Macaca mulatta: one gene and its partners. The protein of the gene in region 7 interacts with the protein of the main gene of each other region in a pairwise test. Links are inferred from orthologs where the notes say so. Each region holds a gene or a part of one and is shown on either strand. Other genes may lie near its edges. The genes, in order: ARFGAP1, GLRX3, C10H22orf39, NUFIP2, NLK, SMAD9 and GRN.

Region 1 (3,979 bases), on a different chromosome or scaffold from region 7:
CCAGGGTGACCATGGGGACATCTGACAGGCGCGCACCGTGACTTCTGCTCATAAGAGCCCTAAACTGGGTGCCTTGGCTGCTTGTCTGGGCAGCTGCAGGCACCCAGCTGCCCTGCTCTGGGCTTCCCCTTCTCCTTTCACACCACAGCCCAGCCCCCGGGGGCCCACACCCCATCCTGATGCCAGGCCTGCTCTTGGGTCTCTGCCTAATGCTCCACTGTCTGCCCTGATGAAAGCCCCAAATCCTCCCGTTTCAGGTTGAGAAGCGGCGAAAGAGAGAAAATGCTACCAAAACACGACCTGAGCCCCAGAAGCTCTAGGGCACAGGGCACCCGAGACCTGCCCTGCTTGGTTAGGGTGGAGTCTAGGAATCAATGGGGCTCACATCTCCCTCACTTTCATCAGGGCGGGACCCCTTTGCCAGCAGCTGGTCTGACACAGGAGCGGCTCCTGACAGCCTGGGCTGCTGTGTTCCTGCAGAACCTCCAAGGCCTTGGGACCACCCTGGCTGGTACTGCGTTGGCACAGCCCATGGTTGGAGCACCCAGAAACCCTCTGTGTCCCACATCCCTTCTGCAGCTCCCAGAACGAGGTGGCCAGCGCAGTGGCTGCACACCTGCACCAGTTACCAGTGAACAGGAAATGAGTTTGGCCCCGCAGGCCCTGAGCGGGTACATGAGGCAGCCACCCTGGCATGAGGAGGGGAGCAACGTGGCGGGAACAGCCCCCTCCTACGCTCTGAGAGGCAGCGGCCCCCACAGACCAGCAAGCGGCCGGTGTCCTGAGGGCCTGGTGGGGACAGTGACTTACGCCCTCCTTGGCTGCTGAGGCAAACCGGCTGGCTCCAGTGGTGAAGCTGCTCCAGCCCTGAGGAAGGCGACAAAGAGCAGCTGCATCAGGACTGGGACCCAGGAACCCGGCGCTGAGCAGAGCATCTCAGCAAGGACGAGGACCAGGCCCCTGCCCTGTCCTGACCCCACAGCGCCTGCTTCGCCAGGCTGCTGGAGCAGTACAAATGGACCCAGGGCACAACGGACACGCGCCCTCTACCCCAACCTCGCCAACTGCAGTGCTCCCAACACGGTGCAATCCAGCCTCCTGTGGATCCCACCACCCTCAAGCAGCAAGCCCACACTGCAGGGCAGGACCCCTCCCCAGGGCCAGCGCTCCCTCCTGCCTCCCTAGAGGAACAGGCAGAGGTGAGGCATGTGGGGTCACAACTGCTGTAACCTGCTCTAACCTGCTCTCCTCCCCACGGCTGGCGCTTCCTCCTGCCTCCCCAGAGGAACAGAAAAAGGTGAGGCGTGTGGGGTCATGACCGCCGTAACCTGCTCTCCTTCATCTATGCTCAGGGTTTCCTCCTGAGTCTCCCGAGATAATTAAAGCTATTTAGAAAAATAAATGTCTCATTTCAATCACAACTCATCCTCTTCCTCCTAAAGGAAACACAAAGGGACCCTCACTTGAGAGATCACTAAGCTGAACTGCCTTCCCCAGAAAGCAGATGCCCAGCAAAAGGCAGCAAAAGGGCCACACACAGGCTGGAAAATGCACTTTTCTTTCCTAACGATGCAGCAATGACTGCAAGAGAAAGCAACCATGGCCGTCAGTGGCCCGAGGTGCAGCCAGGCCATCCCGAGCAACTGGAAGCCACACACACCTGGGGGCTCCCAAGACTCTATGGCAGGGCTCCTTGCAGATGAAGCCATCCGTTTTAAACCTGCTTATTTTTAGCTAACATACTTTGAAGATCTTGTCATGTTAGTATTAAAAAATCCTTTCTGGCCAGGCATGGTGGCTCGTTCCTGTAATACTGGAACTTTGGGAAGCTAAGCAACTCAAGAGGCCCAGGTGGAAGGATCGCTTGAACCCAGGGTTCAAGGCTGCAGTGAGCTATAAATATGCCACTGCACTCCAGCCCTGGCAACAGAGCAAGACCCGTCTCAAAATAAATAAATAAATAAATAAACAAGTCCTTCCTTGGCTCTCCGCGCAAGCTCCCATTCACGCGGCCCCTGTGGCCAGAGTCTCAGGTTGCTAGTGTCACAGACAATAATGCTGCGATGAATAAAAATCTTTCTTTTTTTTTGACACGGAGTCGTACTCTGTCGCCCAGGCTGGAGTGCAATGGTGCTATCTAGGCTCACTGCAACCTCTGCCTGCCAGGTTCAAGCAATTCTCCTGCCTCAGCTTCCTTAGTAGCTGGGGCTACAAGGCACATACCACCCTGCCTGGCTAATTTTTATATTTTTTTAATAGAGACGAGGTTTCGCCATGTTGGCCAGGCTGGTCTCGAACTCCTGACCTCAGGTGATCCGCCCGCCTCCACCTCTCAAAGTACTGGGATTACAGGCGTGAGCCATCACACCTGCAAGAATCATTTTTTAATCATTTTAATCATTTTTAATCATTTTAAAGACGGTAAAAATTTCCTTGGAAAATGAAAATCAAACAACATGTATTTCCGTTAATAGGAAAATGGCAACAAGCCCAGGGTGTCCTACTCTGAACATCTGACCTGGAGCTTCCAGGCACCCCCAGACCAGAGGTGGCCCTGAGTGACCTCGGGTAGCGCCCGAGCGGCTTCCCAGCACGGCCAGACCCCCAAGCACAGAGCCAGCTTCCCACTGCACACAGCACTCCCTCTGCAGAGAACACGGCCAAGTGGCTGCCGTCAGAGCCCTTGGGTTCCTTGGAAGAACGTCCGCTGTTAGATTTGAAATACACACATTTTGTGTCAGAAGTAAGTAAGTGTTGGTTGGGTGCGGTGGCTCACTCCTGTCATCCCAGCACCTTGGGAGGCTGAGGTGGACAGATCATCAGAAGTCAGGAATTTGAAACCAACCTGGCCAACCTGGTGAAACCCCATCTCTACTAAAAATACAAAAATTAGCTGGACGTGATAGTGGGTGCCTATAATCCCAGCTACTCAGGAGGCTGAGGCAGGAGAATCACTTGAACCTGGGAGGCAGAGGTTGCAGTGAGCCAGAATGCGCCACTGCACTCCAGTCTGCAGCCTGGGCAACAAAGCAAGACTCCGTCTTTTAAAAAAAAAGAAGTGACTGAATTTGGGATCTGAAAAATTTAAGCCACATTTTTGCAAGAAAACGTCACTGAAGGTAAGGGAGGGGTCCTTAGATCACAGCAAGGCCAAGAGCACGTGTTCCAGGACTGCCACACTGCCCCCGACGGCCCGGCGTGCCCTCAGTCCGGGTCTGCCCATGGGAGATGCTCTGCAGGGCCCACAAGTCCTCACCGAGTACAGGGAGGACATGGCGTTGTTGAGGAAGTCATCTTCTTTCTTCTGAGGCGGTGGCGTGTTCCCAAACCCCACGTAGCGATTCCCCTGAGCTCTGAAAACAAAGCGGACAAGAGGCTGAAGATGCTGGCGTGAACCCTGCTCCTCCTGAAGGTGTGGGGCCCTGAACAGAGGTGAGGCTGAGGCTCTGAGGGATGTGCCAGCGTCCCCCAGCACAGGACATGCACGCTGCCTCCCGTAGCAGCAGGAGCCTTGGCAGCTCCCCAGCAGCAGACAGACGTGCTTCCTGCTCATTTAAAAAGACCCTCCTGCCACATCACCAGAGAGGGTCCCCAGCAAGTCCCCAAACCCAGTCATAGAAGTACTGGAAGAAGGATCAAAACAACTTAATATGACAGCTTTGGGGATAAAAATTCACGTATAGGTCCAGCAAATTCCAAGCAGAAAATGTGTTATGCTTTTCTTCTAAGTGTTAGCTCTTCTCTACACCCAAGACCCCCAATCCACACCCGGGTGGGCAGCCGGGGCTCACTGCAGTCAGACCCTGCACCGGCACGTACGGGTCCCACACCCACTGCACACGGGAGGCCCCGAGGGAAGCAGCCCTACCCAGCAGACTGAACCCCGTGGGTCTGGCCTTCCCCAGGCATCCCCAGCTCTCAAGTCCTTACCCTTGATAGGAGCCGAGGTCATCATTCAGCCAGTCTTCGAAAGCCTTGT
Region 2 (3,721 bases), on a different chromosome or scaffold from region 7:
GTGGTGGCACATGCCTACACGCCTATAATCCCAGCCACTCAGGAGGCCAAGGCTGGGAGAATCACTTGAGCTCAGGAGGTGGATTTCAGTGAGCTGAAGCCAAGCCACTGCACTCCCACTTGGGTGACAGTGAGACTCTGTCTCAAAAAAAAAAAAAGATGTGGTTGTTTTCTTCAGATTATTATGACATTTTATAGAGGCAAGTACAGTGAGTGTATTGTGATGGTAACTTCCAGCCTGTTCCTTTCTTCACTCCTGCCCTGGGCCATACAGTGGGGGCTGGCTTGTTTTTGGTCATTTTGCTTTTTCTTTGTCAACCCTCTGCTGCAGCCCCACAGTGAGACACACACAGTCCATCCTTCCCTAAGCAGCACCAGGTTCCTCAGGTGTCTTCTGAGCCGACACACTGGGCCTGACCCAGCTCATGTCTGTGGTAGAACATCTTGGTAACTTGGCTTTCTGTCCCATATCTGTCTGATCTCCATTGTATTGAAAGCACCCTGTTGTCGCAGAGAGCAGGAGGCTACTTTGGGAGAGAATGACTCCCAGCTCTGGACTTGCTAAGCATGATTGGCTCTAGGATGAGTGAGGCCATCCAGGACCTCAGCTTCTTTTAACGTGAACAGACCATGCTCTTGTTTGGAGTCAAAGTATGTGGAGAAAACTCCTTTTTACTTTTTCTCATTTCTTATCTTTTCCTTTAGTAGCCAAAATACACATGCATGAGTGGCTGAGAACCAAGTGTATATTGAGGTTTGAAAGGTACCCTTTATGAATAACTCTTAGGAAGTGTATTGACTGTTAGGACGCCACATACATACACTTGGGCCCAGTGCTTCCTGGATCCTTTATGAATAGTTTTATAACTCATTGTTTTTATCACAGTATTAAGAGATCTGCCACCTTTAGTTAGTTCAGCTTGAACAAAGACTTACATTGGGTTTTTAAAAAAACATTAGGTTTACATTGGGGTCCTTTTTTGCTCTTCTTTCAAACATTCCTTTTTTGGTAATTGCTTCTGATTTATCCTGTCATTTAGTTTTTTTTTTTTTTTTTTTTTTTTTTTTTTTTTTACTGTTCCCTGCACCATAGACAGTTTCCTTGGGAACTTGTTTACTAAATAAACAAGATTTCCCTGTGATGGTTTCAGTTTTATGGAAAGTCTAGTTTTTTTTTACATGTAGCATTTTCTTTGACCACCTTTGGGAATTGCACCTGTACCCTCAGGCACCCTGCAAGGATTTAGGCATACATGCTTGCTAATACCTGACCACCTAACGGTGAAATCACTCTGAGTAGATACAGTTGGACATTCATGCAGTGATTTTTCTTTGTACGAGTAATGTTCATTGTACGGCATAAAGCCACAAAGCTTTCATTGGCCTTTTGTACATTAAAAACAGCGCCCTCTCTGAAATAAGTTTAAGTGTGGAAAGCATGTCTCCTGCTAAGGTGGAGGGAACTGGCAGCGTGGTTGTCATCTGGCTGCTGAGCCCTCCAGCCTCCGTCCACAAGCACTACTACTTCCTGCTCCACGGGCAGCTTCCAGGAGGTTAAGAAGCAGCAGCTGGGGGTGGATTAGATATTAGAAGTGGATGAGAGTGTTCAGTTAATGAAGGCTTGTGCAGATGGGGATGTGGGTCTGACCCAGGGGTTGGCAAGTTGCAGGTGGCTGCCCATTTTTGTAAATAAATTTATATTGGCACATAGCCACATCCCTTCATTTATATGTTGTCTGTGGCTGCTTTTGTGCTGCCCAGCAGAACTGAGCAGTTAAAACAGAGACTGGCCTCTAAAGCCTGAAGTGTTTACTGTCTCACTCTTTAAGAAGACGTTTCCCCATCCCTGGTCTAACCCAATATTGTCTGGAGAAAAATCTAGATAAAGTCGTATCTTGGAATGACTAATTCTGTGTAGTACCAGACAGATTAAGAAGTAAAATCATTTCCATTGGTCTGTAGTACATTTTGTTAGCAACAAAATAGTTTTCTTGATTATTTTAAAAACATCAAATGCATAGAGGTTTTACAATTTGATTTAACTGTATTTCCAGTTAAAATGTCTTCTCTTTCTTCCAGTGTTGAATATGAAACATTCGATATATTGGAGGATGAAGAAGTAAGTTCTGTGTCTGATGTTTCACCTTTGTCTTAGCTTTAATCATAAGGGCCTGACAGGATGGTTTCCGGACTCTTGTTTCTTTAGGTTCGGCAAGGATTAAAAGCCTACTCAAATTGGCCAACGTACCCTCAGCTGTATGTGAAAGGGGAGCTGGTGGGAGGATTGGATATCGTGAAGGTAAGTCAGTTCTTCTGCTCTTCTAAAGAACGGAGAAGACTTTGGTGTGTTTAAAAATGATTTCATATTGAATGGAAACTTGAGAGTTGTTTTTGACTCTTGTTTCCAGCCTGACTCTCAGGCATTTCTAGACCAGTATCACCGTTTCTGTGTGCATAAGTACCCTGCCATTCTCACTGTCCCCACCTGGCAGCCGGTTCTTACTTCCACACCTGAACTAGCCATTTCATCCCCTTTCTGTGGGGTGATCTTACCTGCCACTCAGGGTCCTTGTGAGATCCTGCTTCAGCTCCCAGCCAACAAATTATTTTTTCTTGCGTTACTCACCTGCCCTTGGGTGCATGGACCGACAGCAGTGTGAGGCCTATGGCCCAATGCTGCCCATCCTTGCCACAGAGGCTGAAGATCACTGCCCCTGGTCCCCCGAGAGAAAAAATGTAGGTCGCTTTTTGGTTTTCAGATGTTTGGAAATCTGTTATCTGTTAGATTGTAAGTGTTTTAGAGAAGACACCATTTCTTAGGTATCTTGAGTCCTTCCTGATGCTTTGTGTATTTTAGGAGTTCAGTAAATGGTTGTTGGATGAATAAGTGACTTTACTTCTTGCTTAAGTTTTAAATGGACATGACTTTGCTCATATTTAATATCTAGAATTTAGGGCAGGCCCACCAACTAGCACCTGTGTGCTCCATAGCTCTTTGATTAGCCCAAAACAGTAAACAGAAGCTGTAGCTTTAATATCTACCCACAGGCCCCACTGCACCCCAGGCCCACTGTGGGCATGGTGGTATCGAGGAGGGTGGTAGCCGGGTGGGTATAGAGAGGAGCTAGACAGGAATGTTGGGCAGGAATGCCAGGTTCTGCTCGGGGACAAGAACAAAACTGCCCCAAAAGGTGGGCTGCCGACTGCCCTCAGACCTTCCTCTTGCCTCAGTCCATTAGAGAATTTTCTGTGAGGTCAGATCTTCCGACTTTTTATGTGGAAAACAAATAGCAAGTAGTACTACTTCTAGTTATGTTGTAAAATAAATTTTTTTTTTTTTTTTGAGACGGAATTTCACTCTTGTTGCCCCGCTGGAGTGCAATGGTGCAATCTTGGCTCACTGCAGCCTTTGCCTCCCAGGTTCATGTGGTTCTCCTGCCTCAGCCTCCTGAGCAGCTGGGATTACAGGCGCACACCACCACGCCCCACTAATTTTTGTATTGTTAGTAGAGATGGGGTTTCACCATGTTGACCACGCTGGTCTTGAATTGCTGACCTCAGGTGATCCGCCCGCCTTGGCCTCCCAAAGTGCTGGGATTACAGGCGTGAGCCACCGCGCCCGGCCAAAATAAAAGTTCTTAACACATGCTTTTGTAAAGTGAAGCACTAGCGTACCACTGAAATGACATCAGCACTTTGGACCAATATGTTTTATAGAAACA
Region 3 (2,765 bases), on a different chromosome or scaffold from region 7:
TCGTTTATTTTTTGTAGAGATAGAGTCTTGTTATGTTGCCCAGGCTGGTCTCAAACTCCTGGGCTCAAGCGATCCTCCCACCTAAGCCTCCCAAAGTGCTGGGGTAACAGCCGTAAGCCACCACATCCAGCCACCATTTTAAATCCCTATTTATTGATGTTTAATGTCTGTCTTTTCCCCAAACAACAACAGAAACTCTTTGAAGACAACTTGTCTGTTTCGAAACTGTGGTCTTGTAAGCCCCAAACCCTGTCCAACATGTGGACACTCAGATGTTGTGAAGGAATTGCCATAGCAACAAATGCAGGAACATCCTGTCCAGAGAGATTATCTGCTGATGTGGAACTTGAGTAGTGAAGGAGGAGGCAAAATATGACAGTTGCACTACAGAGGCAGGACTCAATGCTTCCTAACCGAGCATGCAGTCGCACACTGCATACCTTGCTAAACAAGCAGGTGGCAGGGAGCATGGCTGCACTGAGGGAAGGCCCCTCATGGACTGGGGTGCTGGCTGGCATGCCCTGGCTTTTGCTGCACTCTCCAGCTCTGCCCCATGAACCTGAAGGCAGCTGCTGCAATCCCAGGCATCACATGCAGACTGCCAATTCATTTTATTATTTTATTTTTGAGACGGAGTCTTACTCTGTTGCCTAGGCTGGAGTGCAGTGGCACGATCTCAGCTCACTGCAACCTCTGCCTCTGGGGTTCAAGCGATTCTCGTGTCTTAGCTTCCTGAGTAGCTGGGATCACAGGCGCATGCCACCATGCCCAGCTAAGTTTTGTATTTTTAATAGAGATGGAGTTTCACCATGTTGGCCAGGTTGGTTTCGAACTTCTGACCTCAAGTGATCCACCCGCCTTGGCCTCCCAAAGTGCTGGGATTACAGCAGACTGCAAATTCAGATGCCCCTTCCCTGTGTTTAAGAGTAAGAAAAACCTTGTAGATCTCTAGCAGTCTTCTTCTTTTCCCTCACTGGGTGGAAATGCTCATTAATCCAGCCACAGCCATGCTGGAGGCACCTTGGTTGCCTTAGACACATCAATACTCCCCTGATGATGGGGGAACGCTGGCTCCGCTGTAGATGCTCCTGCTCTTGGGATCCTGTGAACACAGCCCCCACCCCCACCGTTCACAGACACAGACAGGGGCTCTTAGGGAGCACAGGAGAAAACACTCAAGCAGGGAAATACTGTTCTTTAATGGACACCCTTCTGAAGTGATGGATTGTTCTACCCCAAAGAACAAATTTAAAGATATTCAACTTGCTGCCTGTGTCCAGGAAGAGAGCAGGGAGGGTGCTGGGTACAGACCCAGCCTAGCCCTCAGCATCACATAACAGGGCCACCACAGGATGAGAAACCATTCTATTAGTAATAAAGAGACTGCTTCGAGAAATAGTGTTTTTGGTGGTTCATACATTTTAAAACACCTACAAGAGAATAAGCATACAAGTTTCTAACACTGTCCAGACAACACTGTTATATATAAAATCTAACAAATGTAAACTTAATTTTCAGCTTCTATTTGAAATCAGATGAAATGGCTTTTGATACATTAACCACCAGGGGAAATTTTTTTGAGGGAAGGAGTCCTTAATTCCACATGTCTTGGACTTGGATTTCTTAAGGTGAGTCCACAAACCCTCTTTATGCAACGTTGTGTGTTCTGTAGCTGTGTGCATTTCTTAAAAACTAGAGTCTCCAGGGGCCGACCTGGGAGCCTAACAAGTGAAGCCTGCTGGTGCAGAGGGGCCAGCAAGCCCTGCCTGCTCGGCACACCTGCCTGCATGTGCAGTGGAACTGAGTGGAGCAGAGTGTGAGTACTCACAATGTTCACCAAACCTGAGACATAGCAGGCAGTTTCCCAAGGACTAGGAAAGACATTCACAGTGGCGCAACTGTTTAGCTACCTCATTATGACCCACCTGTGTGTCCATACAGGTCAGGGCTACCCTTCAGTTTACCTGAGAAGCCTAGACCTCAGGACCGCCATCTCCTATGCTACTGTGCCCAGCCTGACCTGGCTGCTCACAGGTACCTGGCCATAATGCTTAGCCTCCTGGAAGCTCTGAAGCGGTGCAATTGTCCTGCAGAACATCGCAGCGTCAGGGTACCCTGCAGGCTGGTGAGGGGTGGGCAAGTAGGACCAGCAATGTCCTGCTCCACGTTCCAAACCCAGCAAGAGCTCACAGGGACCCACTAGACTGTGTAGGCTGTCACAGTCCCCAGGGTTTTGCAACAGCAACTTGAAACAGACCAAGGAAGCTGCACAGGCCAATGGCAGGGGTGCTTGTCACTCGTCCTTCTCCTGCGGCAGAGGGAGATGCCAGTCTGGAGGGGGGCTCTGCCTCGGGGCCCACACCAGGATGTGCTTCCGTGCAGCCTGGACTCGTGCCCGTTCGCTCTCACAGAGGGAATGCTGTGCAAATAAGACTCTAGTCACTCCCCAGGCTCTGAGCACCCTCAAGACCCCTGTACCTCCCCCCAAAACACAGATGGACAGGAAGGGGCCTATGGTGCACACCACTGTGCAGCACAGCTGCATCCACCTTGGCGAGTATTCCATATTAGCGCACAGAGATTGAGATCATTTTGTTCTCACAAACTACTGTGAAAAACTACTGAATAGGTCATACTAATTTGAGGAATTTTAAAATATCTTCTCCCGGACCTCAGGGCTCAATGGCTCTGGCTGACCTTGTGAGTCTGGGGCGTATTCACCTGCTGAGAGTGAGCCTGGGGGTGGAGTGGAGAGGAGAGAAGAG
Region 4 (4,490 bases), about 31 Mb from region 7:
ACTTCCAAAAGACTCAGCAAAACTTGAGTCCTGATAAATCTAGCTTTTCAATTAGAAACAAATTACTCAACACATTTGGCCTTCTCTTGCGCCCTCTTCTGGATAAACAAAAAAAACTGTTCCTCTTTAGGTTTGTGAGTAATGGGTTACAAAAGCCTACCTCAACATGTTACAGATAAATTTCAAAAATATTGTAATGTTTTCTTAGTTATTAGCATAATGCATGTCAAAGCAACAGTACTGTGACCAAACCATACACTCGCCCCAAATTGTTTATACTCTGTCAAAACTCCTAATTCCAGTTTCCTCCTCTTTATCCACGTCTTCCGAGATAAGAAATATTTGGAGGAATACCACCTTGAATGGTTTAGGGGCTGCTTCTACATGTAGAGAGAAGTCTTGCAAGAGTATATTTACCTGACCGATGAAATACAATTTTTCAGTCTCAACAGTAATATTGCCTTATGCAGCCATAATACGGTAGTATTTTCTCATCTTTTGAACAAGATCTAACGCTAAAAAAATCTAGTTATGTAGTCCCTAACAGTTTTTAAACTGCTCTAAATCTTTAGGATTAAACACCTAACTCGTGTGTTACGTGTTCACTTCTGTTGCATACCATCGGGTCCCTAACGAACTCCCAAAATGGAAAATCTGACACTCTAATTTCAGTCTTCAAGTTACAATCTGCAATTTAAAAAGCACTTAGTTTTTCTCCAGCTCTCAACAATTCCTTCTATCAAATTTGATACGCTGGGTTTAACATACGCTTTATGCTTCCTTTCTCTTCGATTTATATAGAGCCCTTATTTTTCAAAATATGCGAGGGTTATAAACTTTTAAACTTACTTCTCGTGAAATACTTTCTTACATGACTTTTACCCTCAATTTCTCGTTTGTTAATATTAGTTTGGGGATCAATATCGACTTTAAAATACGAAAAAACACCTTTCTTTTTAACATGGAGAGAAGCCTCATCCGAGGCAAGATGGTAGTAATCTAACCTCATGGATGAGCCACTTGGGTTCACCCTTAAGGACAAGAAAGGGGGTCAAAAAGCTCGCCCTGTTCCTCATCCTAACATTTTAAAAAATCTCTCACCTCAAAGACACTACCCAAGCTCAGAAGGTAAGTGCCGGCTGGGGAGGGGAATGGAACAAGGTTTTTGTTAATTTTTTTTTTTTTTTTTTTTTTTTTTTTGTAGAAAATGAGCTGCTAGAAGGAAAAGGCCCAAGTGAAAGCCTCAGAGGCGGAGTCGTGAGCGAACCTGGCAGGAGACGAGGTTCCTGTGGCAGAGAAACTCGTGACCGGGGAGCTGGGTTCCCGCTGGGTACCCCACCCGGCCTCAGGCACCGCCTCTACCCAAAATGAATCCCCCCGCCGCCCCCCCAGGCCTCCTGCCCCTAGGAGCGCCGCGGCCGCCGCCGCCGCCCGCGGCCTCCTTCCCCCTCAGCTCCGCTTCGAGGCCGGCTCCCCGCCCCGACTGCCCGCGCCTCCCGCCGCACCCGGGAGCGGGAAACGCGGCCGCTGGCGCGCGGGGCCCTGCGCAGGCCGCTCCCCTCGTGGCCGCTTCCCTCCCCCACCCCAACCGCCCCCGCCCCTCACCCCAGGGACCCGCCCGGGGCCTCGCGCCGCCACCGGGTTACACAACCCCGGCCGGTGACGGGGGAGGGGCGGCCGCGGAGCGGGGGGCGACGGCGCCCCCGCAGTGCAGGGGGCGAGGCGGCGGCCGGTGGTGATCCCAGGTCACCCAGCTCCGACGCGCCGTGTGGCCCTCGACACCCTTCCCCCCCGCTCCTCAGTGGGCCGGAGTCGGTGACAGGAATCGGCTTCCAACATGGCGGACAGGAAGCGGCCCCGCGAGGAGGAGAGAACATTCCAGCCGCGCCGGCTCTGGGGGGAGCGGGCCCGGGGCACCAGCCTTGGGAGGAGCCGCGGGACAAGACTGCGGGGTCCGGCGCCCAAAAAAGGCGTCTAGTGGTGGAAACGACCCGTGAGATGAGGGGTCCCAACAGCCCCCCCCAACAAGATGGGGAGCCCCAAGGCCACAGGTGGGCTTGGGGTGGCGGGTGAGGGGCACTTCCTCAACTCTGCCTACCTACCCACCCCTGGCCGCCTGCAAAAGGGTCTCGCGACACCATCCGAGGCGGGATTCGCTAGGCCTTCCTGAGTTACACCTCGAGGGATTTTTTGGGGGGTAGGTTTACCCCATCTCAGGGCCCCCATATTGAGGTAACTCCAGGGACGCAGAGAGGTGAATGGAAAAGAATAACGAGGTTGGACTTGCAAGGCCGACCCAGTGGGTCTCCCTTCAGCCGGGGCGGGGGCCGGGAAGGTCACGCTGGCCTGGCTGGGCCTCTCCCATGCTGGTGGGAAGGAGGGCGCTGCAAACCCCATTGCTCAGCCCGAGCCCTAGAATGAAAGGGGCATCCCCAGAGCCGGAGGGCACACACACACACACACATCCCGACCCCGTCCGCGCTTCTCGGATCCAGCCCCACCCCCATCTCCCCTGTCCTCCACCCCCAACCCCCTTCCCCCACCCGTCCTCCCTCCCAGACCTGTTTTCTTCTTCGGCGTTTCCTGGTGCTGCTGGAGGGTGTGTTTCTGCTCATGTTTCAGCGGCTTTGGCTGGGCCTTGGGGCTGCCCTCGGCTCCATGCTGCAGGTATTGGTGAGGCTGCTGGTGATGATGGTGGTGGTGGTGGTTGTGGCTGTGGTTGTAGAAATAATAATGGTGGTGGTGGTGCGGCTGCTGCTGCTGCTGCTGAGGGTGATGGTGCGGATGGTGGTGGCTGTGATGGTGCTGAGGCTGTGGCTGGCCGGGCTTCTCCTCCATTGAAAGCGGCTGGGACTCCCTGGCTGAGGCTGCGGGCTGCTGCACCGTCAGGATCTGAGACTGCTTCTCAGGGCTCACTCAGTATATCTGAGCGCGTCTCGCCAGCGCACTGGTTAACCGAGCGATTCTGCGAGATTGGCAGCCGCGCTCCAACAATCAGGAGCCACGCTGTACCGCAAGCCCCGCCCCCAGCTCAAATCCTCTTTCCTTCCCCTTCGCCGCTGCCGCCTGGCCAACGCCACTTACCCTGTGCAACCTCACAGGGCCGGGCCTTCAACGTCAGCACTATGGCTCTCTCTTCTGTCGCTTTCTCTCCTTCACCACGCAGTCTGCGAACAGCACTTTCTACACTCCTCGCCGGCAAGCAAGCTCATGTCGAGGGTAGCAGATTCCACTGGCGATTCCACTGGCGCTGGGAGCCATCTGTTGGTTTTGCACCTATTAGAATCTGGTGGTTTTTTTGTTTTTTGTTGTTTTTTGTTGTTAATCCTTTTCCGGGTAACCAGAAAGGGAAGCTCAATTCCCTTAACCCTAAGACCACTAAAGGGGCAATACAAAAAGAGGAAATAAATACATTTTTAAGAATACAAGAGCTTCACAATCCAGTAGATCATTTTGTATTCTGGATTCATTTTGCTTTGTATTCATATGCTAATCTCTTCCTTTCCACGAAGGGATTATAGGGTTCCACAATGGGGTATCTGTGTAATTTTCTAAAAGGGCACAAAGGGTTTAAATCATTGTTTCTTTGTAGTTGGAGGCAAGGGGGAGCGGGAGGAATGAAAATCTACACTGAAGGTTGTGGTTTTTTTTTTTTTTTTTTTAATTAAACTGCAGGTGAGGTCAACTATGGCACCAAAATAGGTTTTAGAATATGAAGTTTCAAGAGCAAAGGAAGGGGAGAAAGAGCATTTAAAAGTTATTAAGTGGGATTTTTTTTGCACTTATGGAAAAAATGAAATTTAAAGAAATATTCTGTAGCGTGTTGTAGTGTAGATTTAACTTATCCTGCATTACCACATCACAGTATGATTTTCAAAAGCAAATGTTAGAGCCATGATAGTGCTTACTCAGGAAAAGAGGGTTGTGATGGGGAGGGACACAGGTTACTGATAATATTTCATTTTGGGGGCTAGGTGGTGATTATACATATATTTGGTGGTGATTATTTGTTAAACAATATACAGGTAAAATGTACTTTTCTCAATGTATGTTATAGATTGGGGATTTTTTTAATTGTAAAATATTCATAATATAAAACTTACCATCTTAATATTAAGTGTACAGTTCAGGAGCATTAGGTACATTCATATTGTTGTAGAACCATGACCATCATCCATCTCCAGAACTTTTTCATCATTCCAAACTGAAACTTCATACCCAATAAAAATACTGTCCTTTCCCTCCTCCTTCTATCCCTTGATAACCACTGTTCTGTTTTCTGTCTCTACTAATTTGACTATTCTAGGTACCTCATTTAAGTGGGATTGTACCGTATTTGTCTTTTTGTGACTAGCGTTTTTGCGTAATGTCTTCAGAGTAGCATATATCAGAATTTCCCTCTTTTTTAAGGCTGACTAATATTCCATTATATGTATATACCACATTTTGTTTATTCACTCAGCAGTGGACATATGGACTGTTTCCTCAAT
Region 5 (4,762 bases), about 32 Mb from region 7:
GACCGAGGCACCATTACCAGCTATACTCTTTCCCACCTTGAATCCCACACACTTTGGAGAAAGGGCTGCGCTGCAGCAGAAACTTCCTTGGGGATTAGCTGAGAAAATACTGGACTCTACTAGCTTTTTTAAAAAATGGATGAGATCACTTAGTAGCCTAGATTGTCAAATCTGAAATATAAATAAGATGGCCAGTTAAAATGCATAAACGATGCGCCCATCAATTTTAGCCTCAAAAACAATAACGAAAGGAGATATTTACCGGGCCAGTTCCAAAGAGTTCATTTTCCTATGGTAATGGGGGCTTTTCTAGACAGTAACAAGAATCAGTTTTTGAATGCACTGAAAATATCAATTCATCTATCCAAAGTGTAATCATTAGTCCTTGGGAGAAAACCCAGTTCATTCTAGTTTTGACAGGAATAAACATATTTTATTATAAACTACTAATCTTTTTAAGGTTAGACCAAATAGACCAAAATGTTATATTTAAGAAGCCCTTAGGCTTTTACAAATGTCCTAGCACTAGCAAAAGTAGTGTCATTTGTTTAAAAAGTATTATTTCCTACTACAGCAACTGACCAACAGATAATAGGAACTTAAGAGGCACTAAATGACACTAAAACATTACACTGAATGTGGGCCACTGCATAGCTAGTCTACTAACCTCATTTGTGGTACTCATGTGTGATGCTATATTTAATGCATTCTTATCAAAAGGCTACAGCTACATACTTCCCAACTGTAGCTCCATGGTTTAAAATAAACCACTCAAGCAATGATCTTAACTGGTTCAACTATGAATCCTATCTTTCTTCTCGAGATCAAGATCACAAAATAAGGAGTGAAAAGACAGAAGGATAGGAAAGTAGTTATGCAAAGTATATCGTAATGACAAGAGTATTATAAAGGAATTCAGTTTGGATCAGTTGCTAACACTTAATGCCACTGGGCAACCGATCCAAACTAAATCAAACACACGAAATGACCAAGGTCTTTGTAGGAGTTAGTATTCCATACATTCATCTACTGATGCTGTGTTCAGTGGCTTGCTTAGGTTCTAACAGAAAAGTTTGGTAGACAGCAAACTTATGTGTGTTGCTCATGAGAAGGTGCTCCACCAAAACTTGCCATGAGCCTAGACAGCCAATGCATTAGGCCTAGACAGCCAATGCATTACCACTTTAGTGAAGGTGGCTTCCTACAGTTGGGTTGAGAAGCTTGCTCCACCTTGGTCAGCATGGAGAAAACCACGAGGGATGCACTCACCCAATCACAACCATCAGAAGAAACCATGAGAGGTTGTGTTTTTCTTTGGATACTCACCAGACAACACCAAAGGCTCCATATCCAATAGGTCTATCCGGCTCAATATCCAGCTGCTGTTGTGGATGATGCGAGTGCTGATGATGGTGCGCCTTAACTGTAGCAGCTGCGGCAGCCTGTACCTGAGCTGGGGCTGCTGCAGCTGGTCCAGGAGCCTGCCCCGGTGCCGGTGATGGGAAATATGGCTGTTGTTGCCCAGGGTTTAACATGGCTGCAGCTGCAGCCGCTGCTGCGGCTGCCGCAGCTGCCGAAGAGGTGTGCTGCTGTACAGGGTGTACAGCGGCAGCCGACCCCGGATGAAGATGGTGTTGAGGGTGGTGGTGGTGGTGCAGGTGAGGAGGAGGGAGGTGTGGAAGGTGGTGGTGATGGTGGTGGTGGTGACCTGCTGCTGCTGCAGATGTACCGCCATTGTAAGCCGCCATCATTTTTGCGTTGGCTCTTGCGCCACAAAGAGACATTCAAAATAAATGCCCTTTGATTGGAAAGCAAACTGGGTCAAGCTGTCATTTGGCCATTTAAAAATGAAGAAAAACCACTCACTCCACCTCAAAAAACATAGAGCGTAACTGGCTTTATGTCTTCATCAGTCAATCCAAACAAGTTAGAGGATCTTGGTGTTTAATTTTGGGGTGAGCGTGTGTGGAAGGGTGTGGGTTGCCAAAAGGAAAAAAAAAAGGAAAAAAGAAAAGAAAAAGGAAAAAAGGACCCCTTCCCCCCAGGATTCCTGCCACAAGTGGGTACTAAAACTCCATTCTTAATTTGGGGGAGGTTCCAACTTTGAATGTGGGAATAAAGGCCAAACCTCCCGACCCCCTGAACTCCACACACGAAAAGGATCAGGTAACACACCACCCTTGGAATCTTGAAAGAGGGTTGAATCATCTACCCCTTCCATTCCCACATCCTTTTCTAAACACCTACCACCTCCTCAAAAACAGGATTAAAAAAAATTCCCACTACCCTAAATGGAGAAGATGGGGGGAAATTTTCTGGGAAACCAGCTTCCAGCGTCCCCCCCCCCTCGAACTCTCAGGCCTTCCTACATCTCCCCCTACTCCTAGTCAGGTTGACCTGATTGGGGAGGGGGGGGCGGGGGTTCTAAACTTTCCTGGGCAGAATGAGCCAGGGAAGGAGGCTGGAGTGAGGAGAGGAGGCGACAGCAGGACAGAGAGGAGAAAGAGAGGTAGGGCAAAAGTGAAGGGAAGGAGGTGCAAGGAAGAATGAAAGATGTGGGCAGCGCTCGGACGCCTAGACAGCGGGAACCGCCCCGGGAGAAGGTTAGGGTCCCGGGGCCAAAGAATAGGAGCCCCGGGAGGCGGGCGGAGTACGGTCGGAAGCGGGCTGACTCCTGCCCCCGCCGCCGGCTGCTTCTGCTGAGGAGGGTTGGGGGGGAGAGCGGGTGGGTCCCCCGCGCGACGGCCCCTCAGGGCTCAAGGCTGCTCCGTCTCCCCCCCTCCCCCCCACCCGGCTTCCGTCCCCGCGGCCGCTTTCTCCTCAGCCGCCGCGGCCGCTTTCTCCTCAGCCGCCGCCTCCTCAGCCGCCGGTGCCGCCGCGGCCGGACTCACCTCCCCTAGCAAAGCCGGATAGACCGGAGCCAGCGGCGGACACGCGCAACCAGCCGCCGAGGCCCCGCCCCCGCCTTGCACTGACCGGCTGCCCTAGCCAATCCACGCCCACCTGTCCGCTACCGCCTCCAATCCTGGGCCAGGAGCTTCAGACAGGCGCACTGTTCGGCCAGTGGCAACAAGGTGTGGGTCTTCTGGGGAAATCCCGCCCCCGATCCGGGATGGGCAGATAGAAAGACCAATCAAAGGCAGAGTTTGGCTTGACCGACACGGCTTAAAGCCAATGAAAAAGCAAAGATCTTTGTGACATTTTTCTTTCGCCTCTCTCCTCTTTTTTCTTCTTTTATTATTTATTTATTTTTTGGCAGGAGCAGGAAGCTGCGTGCTAATCCCGCCTGCAAAAGCTGGAAGAGAGGGGCGGAATGAAAGAACCAATCATGAGCCAGAGGCAAAGAACAGAGTAACCAATCCTTGGGTTGAAAATGAAGTATGCGGGCACCTGGGCCAGATAGACACTTGACCTGACAAATGGAAAAAAAGATTGATGTAAGTCCCACCCTTTATAGCTCCTCTAGGACAGGATTGTGGAGAATTTGCTGTCATATCGAGACAACCTCTTCCAGGGGCGGGGCTTAGGAAAGGGGTGGGGTCTCAAAGTGGGCGGGACCTAGACGAAGAAGGCGGACCCCAAATCACCACTGGTCCACCGATCCCCGAGCCGTCTAATATACCACTTAAGATGTAAAGTGTGGGGCAAAAATAGGGGAAGAAAAAGGGAATGCTGAGCTTCAGAAAGTCAAGGTCCAAGGTCACTCAACAAGAAGACAGTCACAAAAGAAATTCAGTAGACTGACAGTTCATAGTCTACGGCCGGTCCTCTCCATGGTTAATCCTGATCTTGGCAAAAAGAGGAGGAATCTCCAGCATTCAGAACTCCACTGTCAACAGATGATAAAGTTGTTGGTGCAAATTAAAACAAAAAAGTAAACTTGGCCACAAAAATAATACTTTTCTTCCATCTTTCTTTCTTAACAGGGTTACGTTCTGTCACCCAGGCTAGACTGCAGTGGCACAGTCCTAGCTCGTTGCAGCCTCCAACTCCTGGCTCAAGCAATCTTCCCGCCTCAGCTTCCCAAGTAGCTGGGATTACAGATGTGCACCACCATGCCCGGCTGATTCTTTAATTTTTTAGAAACAGAGTCTCAATATGTTGCCCAGGTTGGTCTCAAATTCCTAGGCTCAAGAGATCCTCCCACCTCCCACCTTGGCCTCCCAAAGTGCTAGGATTACAGGCGTGAGTCACCGCCTCCAGCCTCTCCCATATTTTCTATCAAGTAAGTTTCTGTCATTGAAATCTTACTAAAATAGCATCTTTCCTTTACATCACTTGATTTATCTGAATTTACCCTTCTTTTAAAATGTGAAATAATAAGCTTACAGAACCTTATCCCTACCGAAACTGCATAGTTTACTCAGAAACTTGGAGGTCATCTTCAATTCCTCCTTTGCCTGTCCACGTTGTCCCTTCCAATCAATCAATCATCAAGTCTTTTTTTTTTCTTTCTTTTTTTTTTTTTTTGGTGAAGGGACATGGTCTCTGTTGCCCAGGCTGGAGTGCAGTGGCGTGATCACAGCCCACTGCAGCCTCTACCTGTTGGGCTCAGGTGATCCTCCCACCTCAGCCTCCCAAGTAGCTGCAGGCACACACCACCACACCTGGCTAATTTTTGTATTTTTTTGTAGAGATGGGGTTTTGCCATGTTGCCCAAGCTGAATCATCAAGTCTTAAACAATTTTAAATCCCTCTCACTTCTGCTTCTTCCCAGTCACACAGCATTTACCCAAATTTACACCACTAACATCTTTAACCA
Region 6 (3,979 bases), on a different chromosome or scaffold from region 7:
TTTAAAAAATTATTTAAAGAAATATGAACTATAAACTGTGAATGCTGTGAAAAATTTCTAAGCACTAATTTCTTCACAGATTGGTCCCCAACAGTTGTCCAAGGGTCCCCAGTCCTCAGACCACACTTTACCTGGCATGGGTCTGGTGGAAGCCATGCAAGACTGTTGTGGTACATGATGATTTTACTCCATTAGGCCAGAGGTTATTTCAGGAGTGTAATTTCTTTTTTATATAAAATATTCATATTATATCAAAACCACATGACTTTTTAAAAAAAGACAAAAGTGTTTTTTTCCAGCTCTGTTTTGCACCCCCATGTGCCCTGTAACTCCTTCCGCTGTTTCCTCCTGGGTAACACTGAGATGTAAAGATAGCATGGTATTTAAAAGTGGCATAAGATAGGAATAAGTGTCTATAAGCACACTGTCATATTTACAAGCAGCAGTTGAGATGTAGAAGTGGAATTAAGTAATTAGGGATAGCTGTGTTTTTGAGTGAAGGTATTTAAAAATATGATCTGTGCACATTTAAGGCAACTGAGCCAGTCAGGTCAAATCACAACTAGGATGAAACCATTAGTTTTCTTTGCAAACATCCACTGGCTTTGATTTTACTCAGATGGTAAAAATATATTATCAAGATAGTTGTTACAATAAAGGAAATATATCATTTATTTTCTCTTGGTGCCTCAGATCTACAGGCCATGAAGAAATAGAAGTCTCTACATTCAGATGGATAGGAGGCATTATATTTTTATCAGTGTTAGGAATACACCGTAGATATTTTACATTAAAACTGAAGTCACAGAGATTATTCAAATTCTTCTTCATAAAAAAGTGAGTGTTTATTTGAACATCGTTAACGTTTTGATGAAGGGTCATTGACAAAGAAGCCATACGCATTTGCTGTGTCAACTCCTCACTTCAGACTACTCATGAGGCACATAATCATTTTTTTCCTGCATAGTTGTGGAATATTAACACATTAAAGGAAATTTAATGGTTTATTATCCATGTCACTGTTTCATGGTGATGTTGAATGTTTATTCTCTGGTGTCATAGGCTACATACGTATACAAATACTAGCTTGTAAAAGGGGAAGAAATTATTTGTTTCTCTGCCACCCTCACTTGTAGCAATTTTAGTTTAAAACCTTTCATTTACCCTTTTGAGTTTATTTTCTGTCCATGTAACTGAAAATTATTGCTTGTTAAAAAAGAGAGAGATGTATGATGTCAAAGGCAGATGGCAGACTTTGGGGTTGTCACTGTTATTGTTATTGTCTGTTTATTCCAAAACATTTACCTGTTTTAAGACCTTATTTTTTAGAGCAGTTTTAGAACATTTGCTTTTTGTGAGTTTTTATTAATACTTGCCTGTGACTGACAAATCAATAGAGTGATTAGAACCAAGATCTGTCCTGTTTATACCCAGAGACAAACTGTTTTAAACAATTCTTGCTTAGTTCTTTTGTATTTCTTTCTATTATTACTAAGAATTATGACAGTAACTCTAGATAATACATGCTTACATATCTCTTTCCAAATTTGTGACCTTTAGATGTCATTGACTCTCTAACATAAAAGATGAGGATTTCACTCTTATTTATATTTATATGTATGTATATATACACACACACCTTTTTTTTTTTTTTTTTGGAGACGGAGTCTCTCTCTGTCGCCCAGGCTGGAGTGCAGTGGTGAGATCTTGGCTCACTGCAAGCTCCACCTCCCAGGTTCACACCATTCTCTTGCCTCAGCCTCCTGAGTAGCTAGGACTACAGGCAACCACCACCACACCCGGCTAATCTTTTGTATTTTCAGTAGAGACAGGGTTTCACCATATTAGCTAGGATGGTCTCGATCTCCTGACCTTGTGATCCGCCTGCCTTGGCCTCCCAAAGTGCTGGGATTACAGGCATGAGCCACCGCGCCTGGCCTCACACACTTGTATTTTAATCTTCTTCCTTCCTCCTCTTCTCAGTCCTTGATTTCTGTATTTTAGTTCATAGTTTGTATTTGTTTTTCGTTATTCCAGTGGTTTCCATTGTGGAATTTGGGGATAAGAATTATTTGTCCTCAGAAGGGTGTTGGTCCGTTGACTTCTAGTAGCCAGGGTAGGAGTGGGACGTTGAGGTCGGTTGATTCTCATTTCTTTGTAGGTGACTTTGTGGTGATCCTCTAGGAGCTTTTGGAATATTCCAGTTATCCCGCAATGTTTGAAATTCAAGATGGAAAGACTAGGTCGGGATCTTATTTTCATTAATTGAGCTCAGCGCACTCTGTGGCTCTTTTCAATATGAAGACATAGGTCCTTCGTAGCTCTTTGAAGTTTTCCTTTGTTATTTCTTAGGCCTCTTCCCCCTTGTGTTTTCTTTGCCTCTCTGTCTGGAACTTATGTTGGTTGCAGATGGCTCTCCAACAACATTTTTGGAGTAGCTACTTTATGCCAGGCATTGTAACCTTCTAGGAGTCGGTAGGACGTGAGGGCCTAGGCAAAACTTTCCCTTAAGAATTTGAATTTATTCTGAAATTTTGCATAGAATCAAAATCAAGAACTGTAACATTCTTTTTAAAAAATGAAATCCAAAAAAGCATAGTAAAATGAACAAACATCATTTATGTTTTCTTACTGCTGCTTACCTTTTTTTTTTTTTTTTTTTTTTTTTTGAGACAGAGTTTCACTCTTGTCACCCAGGCTGGAGTGCAATGATATGATCTTGGCTCACTGCAACTTCCACCTCCCAGATTCAAGCGATTCTCCTGCCTCAGCCACCTGAATAGCTGGGATTACAGGTTCCCGCCACCACACCCGGCTAATTGTTGTATTTTTAATAGAGACGGGGTTTCACCGTGTTGGCCAGGCTGGTCTCAAACTCCTGACCTCAGGTGATCTGGCCGCCTCGGCCTCCCAAAGTGCTGGGATTACAGGCGTGAGCCACTGTGTCCTGCTGCTGCTTATCTTTTACTTAGTCACTTTTATTATTATTCACCGTTTGTATTTTACTTAATAACTTTTAATTACTCACCTTGAAATCTTTCCATTAAGGACGCATAGAATGTTTTTATTTCAGCAGCACTACTGAACCTGAAATTGTGTCTGGTCATCTAAATAATTCAACATGATCTCTGGAGGAAAAATATTCTGGGCATCACTTAGGGTTTCATTGCAAGCAATAGAAATGGATTCTGCCTTGGGGGAAAAAAGACTCATTTGGCAGAATTAAAGAAAGATGTAACCATCAGTTCGCCAGAAGGCCAGGTATTAGGGCAGCTCTGGTCATTTCCAAGGTAGGAATAAATAGCAGGTCTCTTTAGATGCTGACACTGGAAAGATCCTTCTGCAAATATTTTTTGTGAACGATGACATTCTGCTTAAGATTCGGGTTACAAGGAGAAGACTGTTACCTTAGCTTACTCACGTGCTCGCTTCTTAGGTGGAGATGGGGACTGAATCGACAGTTTTATGATGAGCACAATGACTAATGGGAGTAGTTCTCAAGGGGCAAAAACAGCTCTATCATCAAAAAAATAGATAAGAACAGCAAGTATCCGCTCTGTTGTGTACTGATGAGCAATGTTCAATTCTAACTGCCCTGTTCCTTTCTGATCCTAGTGCTGCCTCCTGTGCTCGTGCCAAGACACAGTGAATATAACCCCCAGCTCAGCCTCCTGGCCAAGTTCCGCAGCGCCTCCCTGCACAGTGAGCCACTCATGCCACACAACGCCACCTATCCCGACTCTTTCCAGCAGCCTCCGTGCTCTGCACTCCCTCCCTCACCCAGCCACGCGTTCTCCCAGTCCCCGTGCACGGCCAGCTACCCTCACTCCCCAGGAAGTCCTTCTGAGCCAGAGAGTCCCTATCAACACTCAGGTCAGTAAGAACTATGGTCTCTGGGGAAATACGGGAAAATAAGCCCAACATGATGATTTGTGATGAACAGTCACAATGACAGTCATTGTAACTCTCATTCATATAG
Region 7 (4,480 bases):
CATGATCTCGGCTCACTGTAACCTCCACCTCCCAGGTTCAAGTGATCCTCCTGTCTCAGCCTCCTGAGTAGCTGGGACTACAGGCACCCGCCACCATGCTGGGCTAATTTTTGTATTTTTAGTAGAGAGGGGGTTTCACCATATTGGTCAGGCTGGTCTTGAACTCCTGACCTCAGGTGATCCACCCGCCTCAGCCTCCCTAAGTGCTGGGATTACAGGCTTGAGTCACCACACCTGGCCTCACCTTTACTTTTTTGTTTGTTTGTTTGAGACGGACTCTCCCTGTCTCCCAGGCTGGAGTGCAGTGGTGCTATCTCAGCTCACTGCAAGCTCCACCTCCTGGGTTCACGCCATTCTCCTGCCTCAGCCTCCTGAGTAGCTGAGACTACAGGCGCCTGCCAGCACGCTTGGCTAATTTTTTGTATTTTAGTAGAGACGGGGTTTCACTGTGTTAGCCAGGATGGTCTCGATCTCCTGACCTCGTGATCCACCCACCTCGGCCTCCCAGAGTGCTGGGATTACAGGCGTGAGCCACCACGCCCAGCCACCTTTACTTTCAAAGGAAGAAACTGAAGCTCAGAGATGTTAAGTACAGTCAGCCCTCCGTATCCAACCAGAGATCAAAAAATATTGGGTGTGGTGGCTCACACCTCTAATCCCAGCACTTTGGGAGGCCTAAGTGGGCGGATCACGAGGTCAGGAGTTCGAGACCAGCCTGACCAACATGGTGAAACCCCCATCTCTACTAAAAATACAAAAATTAGCCATGCGTGGTAGTGCACACCTGTAATCCCAGCTACTCAAGAGGCTGAGGCAGGAAAACGCTTGAGCCCAGGAGGTGGGGGTTGCAGTGAGTGGAGGAGATCGTGCCACCATACTCCAGCCTGGGTGATAGAGCGAGACTGAGATTCCGTCTCACAAAACAAAACAAAAACCCCAGAAAATGTTACATTGTTGCTGAGGTATACTATGTAGTTAGGCTTAGGATGGGTGCATCTATACTGAACATGTACAGATTGTTCTTTCTTATTATTCCCTAAACAATTCAGGATCACAACTATTTACATGGCATTTCTTTTTTTTTTTTTAATTTATTTATTATTGTTATACTTTAAGTTGTAGGGTACATGTGCATAACGTGCAGGTTTGTTATATATGTATACTTGTGCCATGTTGGTGTGCTGCACTCTTTTTCTTTTCTTTTTTTTTTTTCTTTTTTTTTTTGAGACGGAGTCTTGCTCTGACGCCCAGGCTGTAGTACCGTGGCGCAATCTCAGCTCACTGCAACCTCTGCCTCCCGGGTTCAAGCAATTCTCCTGCCTCAGCTTCCTGAGCAGCCTCCTGAGTCTGCTACCACACCTGGCTAATTTTTGTATTTTTAGTAGAGATAGGGGTTTCACCATGTTGGCCAGGCTGCCAGTCTCGAACTCCTGACCTCAGGTGATCCACCCACCACAGTCTCCCAAAGTGTGGGGATTACAGGCATGAGCCACCGTGCCCAGCCAACATGGCATTTCCATTGTATTAGGCATAAGTAATCTAGAAATGATTTAAAGTATGTATAGGTTATATGCAAATATCACACCATTTTGTATCAGGGACTTGAGCACCCACAGACTTTGGGGTCCTGGAACCAGTTCCATGAAGATACCAAGGGACACCGATAACATGTCACACATCAGGTCATGGTGACGACAGGCTTTGATGGCCCCAGAGCGTATTGGACCTGGGTTAATATCACTAGTGGCACAATGGGCAGTGCCTGAGAATGGACCCCTACGCCCCAGGGGGATAGGTGCAACAGGTACGACAGAAACAGGGACTGCCTGGAAATCGCACTTGAGTCCTAATCCTGGAATTGCCAACTGTGAGGGCCTGAGAAGTTGCTCCCTGTCTGTGCCTCAGTTCCCCCACGAGTCTATGTGTGGATACCATTGGAGGGGGGAAGGGCAGGAAATGTCACCCACTCAGTCACTCACATCCTCTCTGCTCCAATTGGCTTTCCTCAAGTGCCCCTCCCCTAACTCAGCATCCCGAAGAGGCCACCTCCTGGACAGATAAGGATGCAGTTGACTGGTCCTGGACAGTGGACCCTCTCCTCAGCCCCACAGCTCCCAGGCAAAACACCTGCAGCTGGCACTGCCTACTTCCTGCGTGTTCTCAGCAGGCTGTCCGCTGCCCTGGCTTGCTGGGAAGGGGAGTCTGTCTGCACAGGAGTGTTCAGCTCTCTGGTGAGTTACCTGTGCATGGCCCCTCCTGTTTACCCTGAGTTGAGGGAGTATAGTGTATGCTTCTACTGAATACATGCACACGCATACAGAAACAGGGATGAGGAGGCGAGTCGCAGTCTCTCACGCCACCCTACACCGCCAAAACAGCCAGAGGGGACAGCAGCCTCTTCAAGACCCTAGCTCCGTTATCTTCCACTAGGTGGCAGCCCCCAACTCCGAGTGCCAAGGGGAGAAGAAATTCCCAAAAGGGGAGCCAGCCTAGCTGCAACTGAGCAGGAAAAAGTGGCTGGGAGAGGCGGAAGTTAGCTCGTCCCACCCCCAAAAAGAGGAAGTAAGGAGGAGCCAGACCAGGTTCAGTCACCACTCCCAAGTCCCTACTACCTTCGAGAAGCCAAGGTTTCAGGTCCCGTTCCCAGGCCCTCGGAGCTCCCAGCCCAGGGTCGCGCGCCCCTCCGGCTTCAGGCCGCCGCGGGAACCACCCACCACCACCACGAGAGGGAAAGAAGCCGGCACCTACCGACAGGGGTGGAGCTGAGTCAAGAATGGTGTGGTCCCTGCTTTGGGGGAATGCTGGGGAGGTAGAAAGCCCCCTTCTAACAGAGGTCACTGCAGTTACTGCTTCCTCTTTCCCATAAAACTCCCTCTAGTGTATCAGAACCCCCAAGGAGTTTCAATAAGCGGTTCTTGTCTTGTCTCCGGCTGAGACTCCCGGGGAACCTCAAGCTCACATGGCCCTGGCCGGGCCCCTGGGCAGGAGCAGGCCAGAGGTCTGCGCGGCCGCCCTCCTACCTGCGTCCGGATCCGCGGTCCCTGGGCAGCAGCAACCGGGCAGCGCTCAGACTACAGATCCCAGCGCGGTGACCCGCCTACCTCAGTTTCCATTGGCCAGGGATCAGGGCTGCCGCACTCCCATTGGCTACTTATCAATGTGGAGGTGGGGCCAGCCTGGAATGCTGTGTTTCTTTTCTACTCAAATCACTCTCCTCCCCGCTTCCTCTCGCCCCACACCCCATTTCTAGGGATCATGTGATTGGAGAATCATGTGACGCCGGGCCAGCCTCAGCAGGGCAGCTGGTGCTCGTCGCCTTCTTTCACCCATCCTGCAGGTGCCTGGGGGAGTTTGCTAGAGATGATAGCGCGTGTCTGGGGCATTGACAGTGCGAGGGACTGTTATGAATTGGGAATATTTGTGCTCCTCTTTCTATTCTTTTGTTTGTTTGTTTGTTTGTTTTGAAATGGAGTCTCACTCTGTCGCCAAGCTGGAGTGCAGTGGCACGATCTCGGCTCACTGCAACCTCTGCCTCCCGGGTTCAAGCGATTCTCCTGCCTCAGTCTCCCGAGTAGTTGGGACTACAGGCGCGCGCCACCAAGTCCAGCTAATTTTTGTATTTTTAGTAGAGACGGGGTTTCACCATGTTGGCCAGGATGGTCTTGATCTCTTGACCTCGTGATCCGCCCGCCTCGGCCTCCCAAAGCGCTGGGATTACAGGCCTAAGCCACCGCACCCGACCTTGTGTGTTTGTTTTAGAGAAAGGGTCTCGCTTGGTCGCCCAAGCTGATCATAGCTCACTGCGGCCTGCAACTCCTGCTCCCAAAGCGATTCTCCTACCGCAGGCCCCCGAGGAACTGGGATTACAGGTGTGAGCTACCGGGCTCACTCGCTCCTATCCTATCCTATCCTGCCCTGTCCTGTCCTGCCCTATTCTGCAAACTCGGATGACATGCTAGGCAGGGCCCAGAGTGAGTTGAAGGATGGTTTCCAGGACAAAGATAAACAGCCCAAAAGCCCTTTCCTCCAGGTGCTCAGCAGGACAGGGGGCAGGGATTGGTGGGAGACAGTCTCAGGCTGAATCTAATTTAATATACAAGGTCGTGCGCCAGTTGCCAGGTGTGGGGAGAGGAAGTAGATTGTCTACAGGTGGGGAAGAAGATATTTCATTCCACCTTAGAAGCATCTCCTTGAGCTGAGTTTGGGAAGATTTTAACTGGCAGGTGGAGGAGGTGTGTTGGGAAGAGCCCTGGGAAACCAGATGGGAAGGGCAGGCTTGGCAGGGATTGAATGCCATGTTCAATGCCAGTGGGCTTCAGGAGCTGCTAGGTGCCTGGCACAGGCAGGGCTGTGGCGGGGGCTGTCGAAAGGGAAGTGGCTTCCTAGTCTCCCCTGGCCCTGCCTTCGAGGAATTGATATGGGAGGGTGAGGAGAGAAAATGTACCACAGAACACATTAGCCAGTGACGAGAGTCAGGCTG

What was found.
Region 1: the proteins of GRN (region 7) and ARFGAP1 interact in binary tests that used the Homo sapiens proteins (3 or more experiments, as listed by UniProt). The two-hybrid records come from large-scale screens. The link is inferred for Macaca mulatta from reciprocal best matches to the Homo sapiens genes GRN and ARFGAP1.
Region 2: the proteins of GRN (region 7) and GLRX3 interact in binary tests that used the Homo sapiens proteins (3 or more experiments, as listed by UniProt). The link is inferred for Macaca mulatta from reciprocal best matches to the Homo sapiens genes GRN and GLRX3.
Region 3: the proteins of GRN (region 7) and C10H22orf39 interact in binary tests that used the Homo sapiens proteins (3 or more experiments, as listed by UniProt). The link is inferred for Macaca mulatta from reciprocal best matches to the Homo sapiens genes GRN and C22orf39.
Region 4: the proteins of GRN (region 7) and NUFIP2 interact in binary tests that used the Homo sapiens proteins (3 or more experiments, as listed by UniProt). The link is inferred for Macaca mulatta from reciprocal best matches to the Homo sapiens genes GRN and NUFIP2.
Region 5: the proteins of GRN (region 7) and NLK interact in binary tests that used the Homo sapiens proteins (3 or more experiments, as listed by UniProt). The two-hybrid records come from large-scale screens. The link is inferred for Macaca mulatta from reciprocal best matches to the Homo sapiens genes GRN and NLK.
Region 6: the proteins of GRN (region 7) and SMAD9 interact in binary tests that used the Homo sapiens proteins (3 or more experiments, as listed by UniProt). The link is inferred for Macaca mulatta from reciprocal best matches to the Homo sapiens genes GRN and SMAD9.

The regions. Positions count from the first base shown.
Region 1 is NC_133415.1:116,138,239-116,142,217, reverse strand, and holds part of ARFGAP1 (ADP-ribosylation factor GTPase-activating protein 1), read right to left. Parts: coding exon 3,931-3,979; intron 3,354-3,930; coding exon 3,257-3,353; intron 868-3,256; coding exon 811-867; intron 1-810. UniProt on the Homo sapiens protein: GTPase-activating protein (GAP) for the ADP ribosylation factor 1 (ARF1). Involved in membrane trafficking and /or vesicle transport.
Region 2 is NC_133414.1:142,215,916-142,219,636, forward strand, and holds part of GLRX3 (glutaredoxin-3), read left to right. Parts: intron 1-2,078; coding exon 2,079-2,118; intron 2,119-2,205; coding exon 2,206-2,298; intron 2,299-3,721. UniProt on the Homo sapiens protein: Together with BOLA2, acts as a cytosolic iron-sulfur (Fe-S) cluster assembly factor that facilitates [2Fe-2S] cluster insertion into a subset of cytosolic proteins.
Region 3 is NC_133415.1:33,265,785-33,268,549, reverse strand, and holds part of C10H22orf39 (synaptic plasticity regulator PANTS), read right to left. Parts: intron 2,420-2,765; coding exon 2,294-2,419; 3' UTR 1-2,293. UniProt on the Homo sapiens protein: Negatively regulates long-term potentiation and modulates adult synaptic plasticity. Stabilizes the interaction of RTN4 isoform A/Nogo-A with its receptors, inhibiting clustering of postsynaptic AMPA receptors at synaptic sites.
Region 4 is NC_133421.1:38,014,760-38,019,249, forward strand, and holds the start of NUFIP2 (FMR1-interacting protein NUFIP2), read right to left. Parts: upstream 2,853-4,490; 5' UTR 2,839-2,852; coding exon 2,562-2,838; intron 1-2,561. UniProt on the Homo sapiens protein: Binds RNA.
Region 5 is NC_133421.1:36,729,551-36,734,312, reverse strand, and holds the start of NLK (serine/threonine-protein kinase NLK), read right to left. Parts: upstream 2,914-4,762; 5' UTR 2,883-2,913; exon of another isoform or gene 2,691-2,882; 5' UTR 1,785-2,690; coding exon 1,327-1,784; intron 1-1,326. UniProt on the Homo sapiens protein: Serine/threonine-protein kinase that regulates a number of transcription factors with key roles in cell fate determination. Positive effector of the non-canonical Wnt signaling pathway, acting downstream of WNT5A, MAP3K7/TAK1 and HIPK2.
Region 6 is NC_133422.1:16,483,409-16,487,387, reverse strand, and holds part of SMAD9 (mothers against decapentaplegic homolog 9), read left to right. Parts: intron 1-3,615; coding exon 3,616-3,873; intron 3,874-3,979. UniProt on the Homo sapiens protein: Transcriptional modulator activated by BMP (bone morphogenetic proteins) type 1 receptor kinase. SMAD9 is a receptor-regulated SMAD (R-SMAD).
Region 7 is NC_133421.1:68,721,872-68,726,351, reverse strand, and holds the start of GRN (progranulin), read right to left. Parts: upstream 3,054-4,480; 5' UTR 3,021-3,053; exon of another isoform or gene 2,749-3,020; intron 2,745-2,748; 5' UTR 2,613-2,744; intron 1-2,612. UniProt on the Homo sapiens protein: Secreted protein that acts as a key regulator of lysosomal function and as a growth factor involved in inflammation, wound healing and cell proliferation. Regulates protein trafficking to lysosomes, and also the activity of lysosomal enzymes.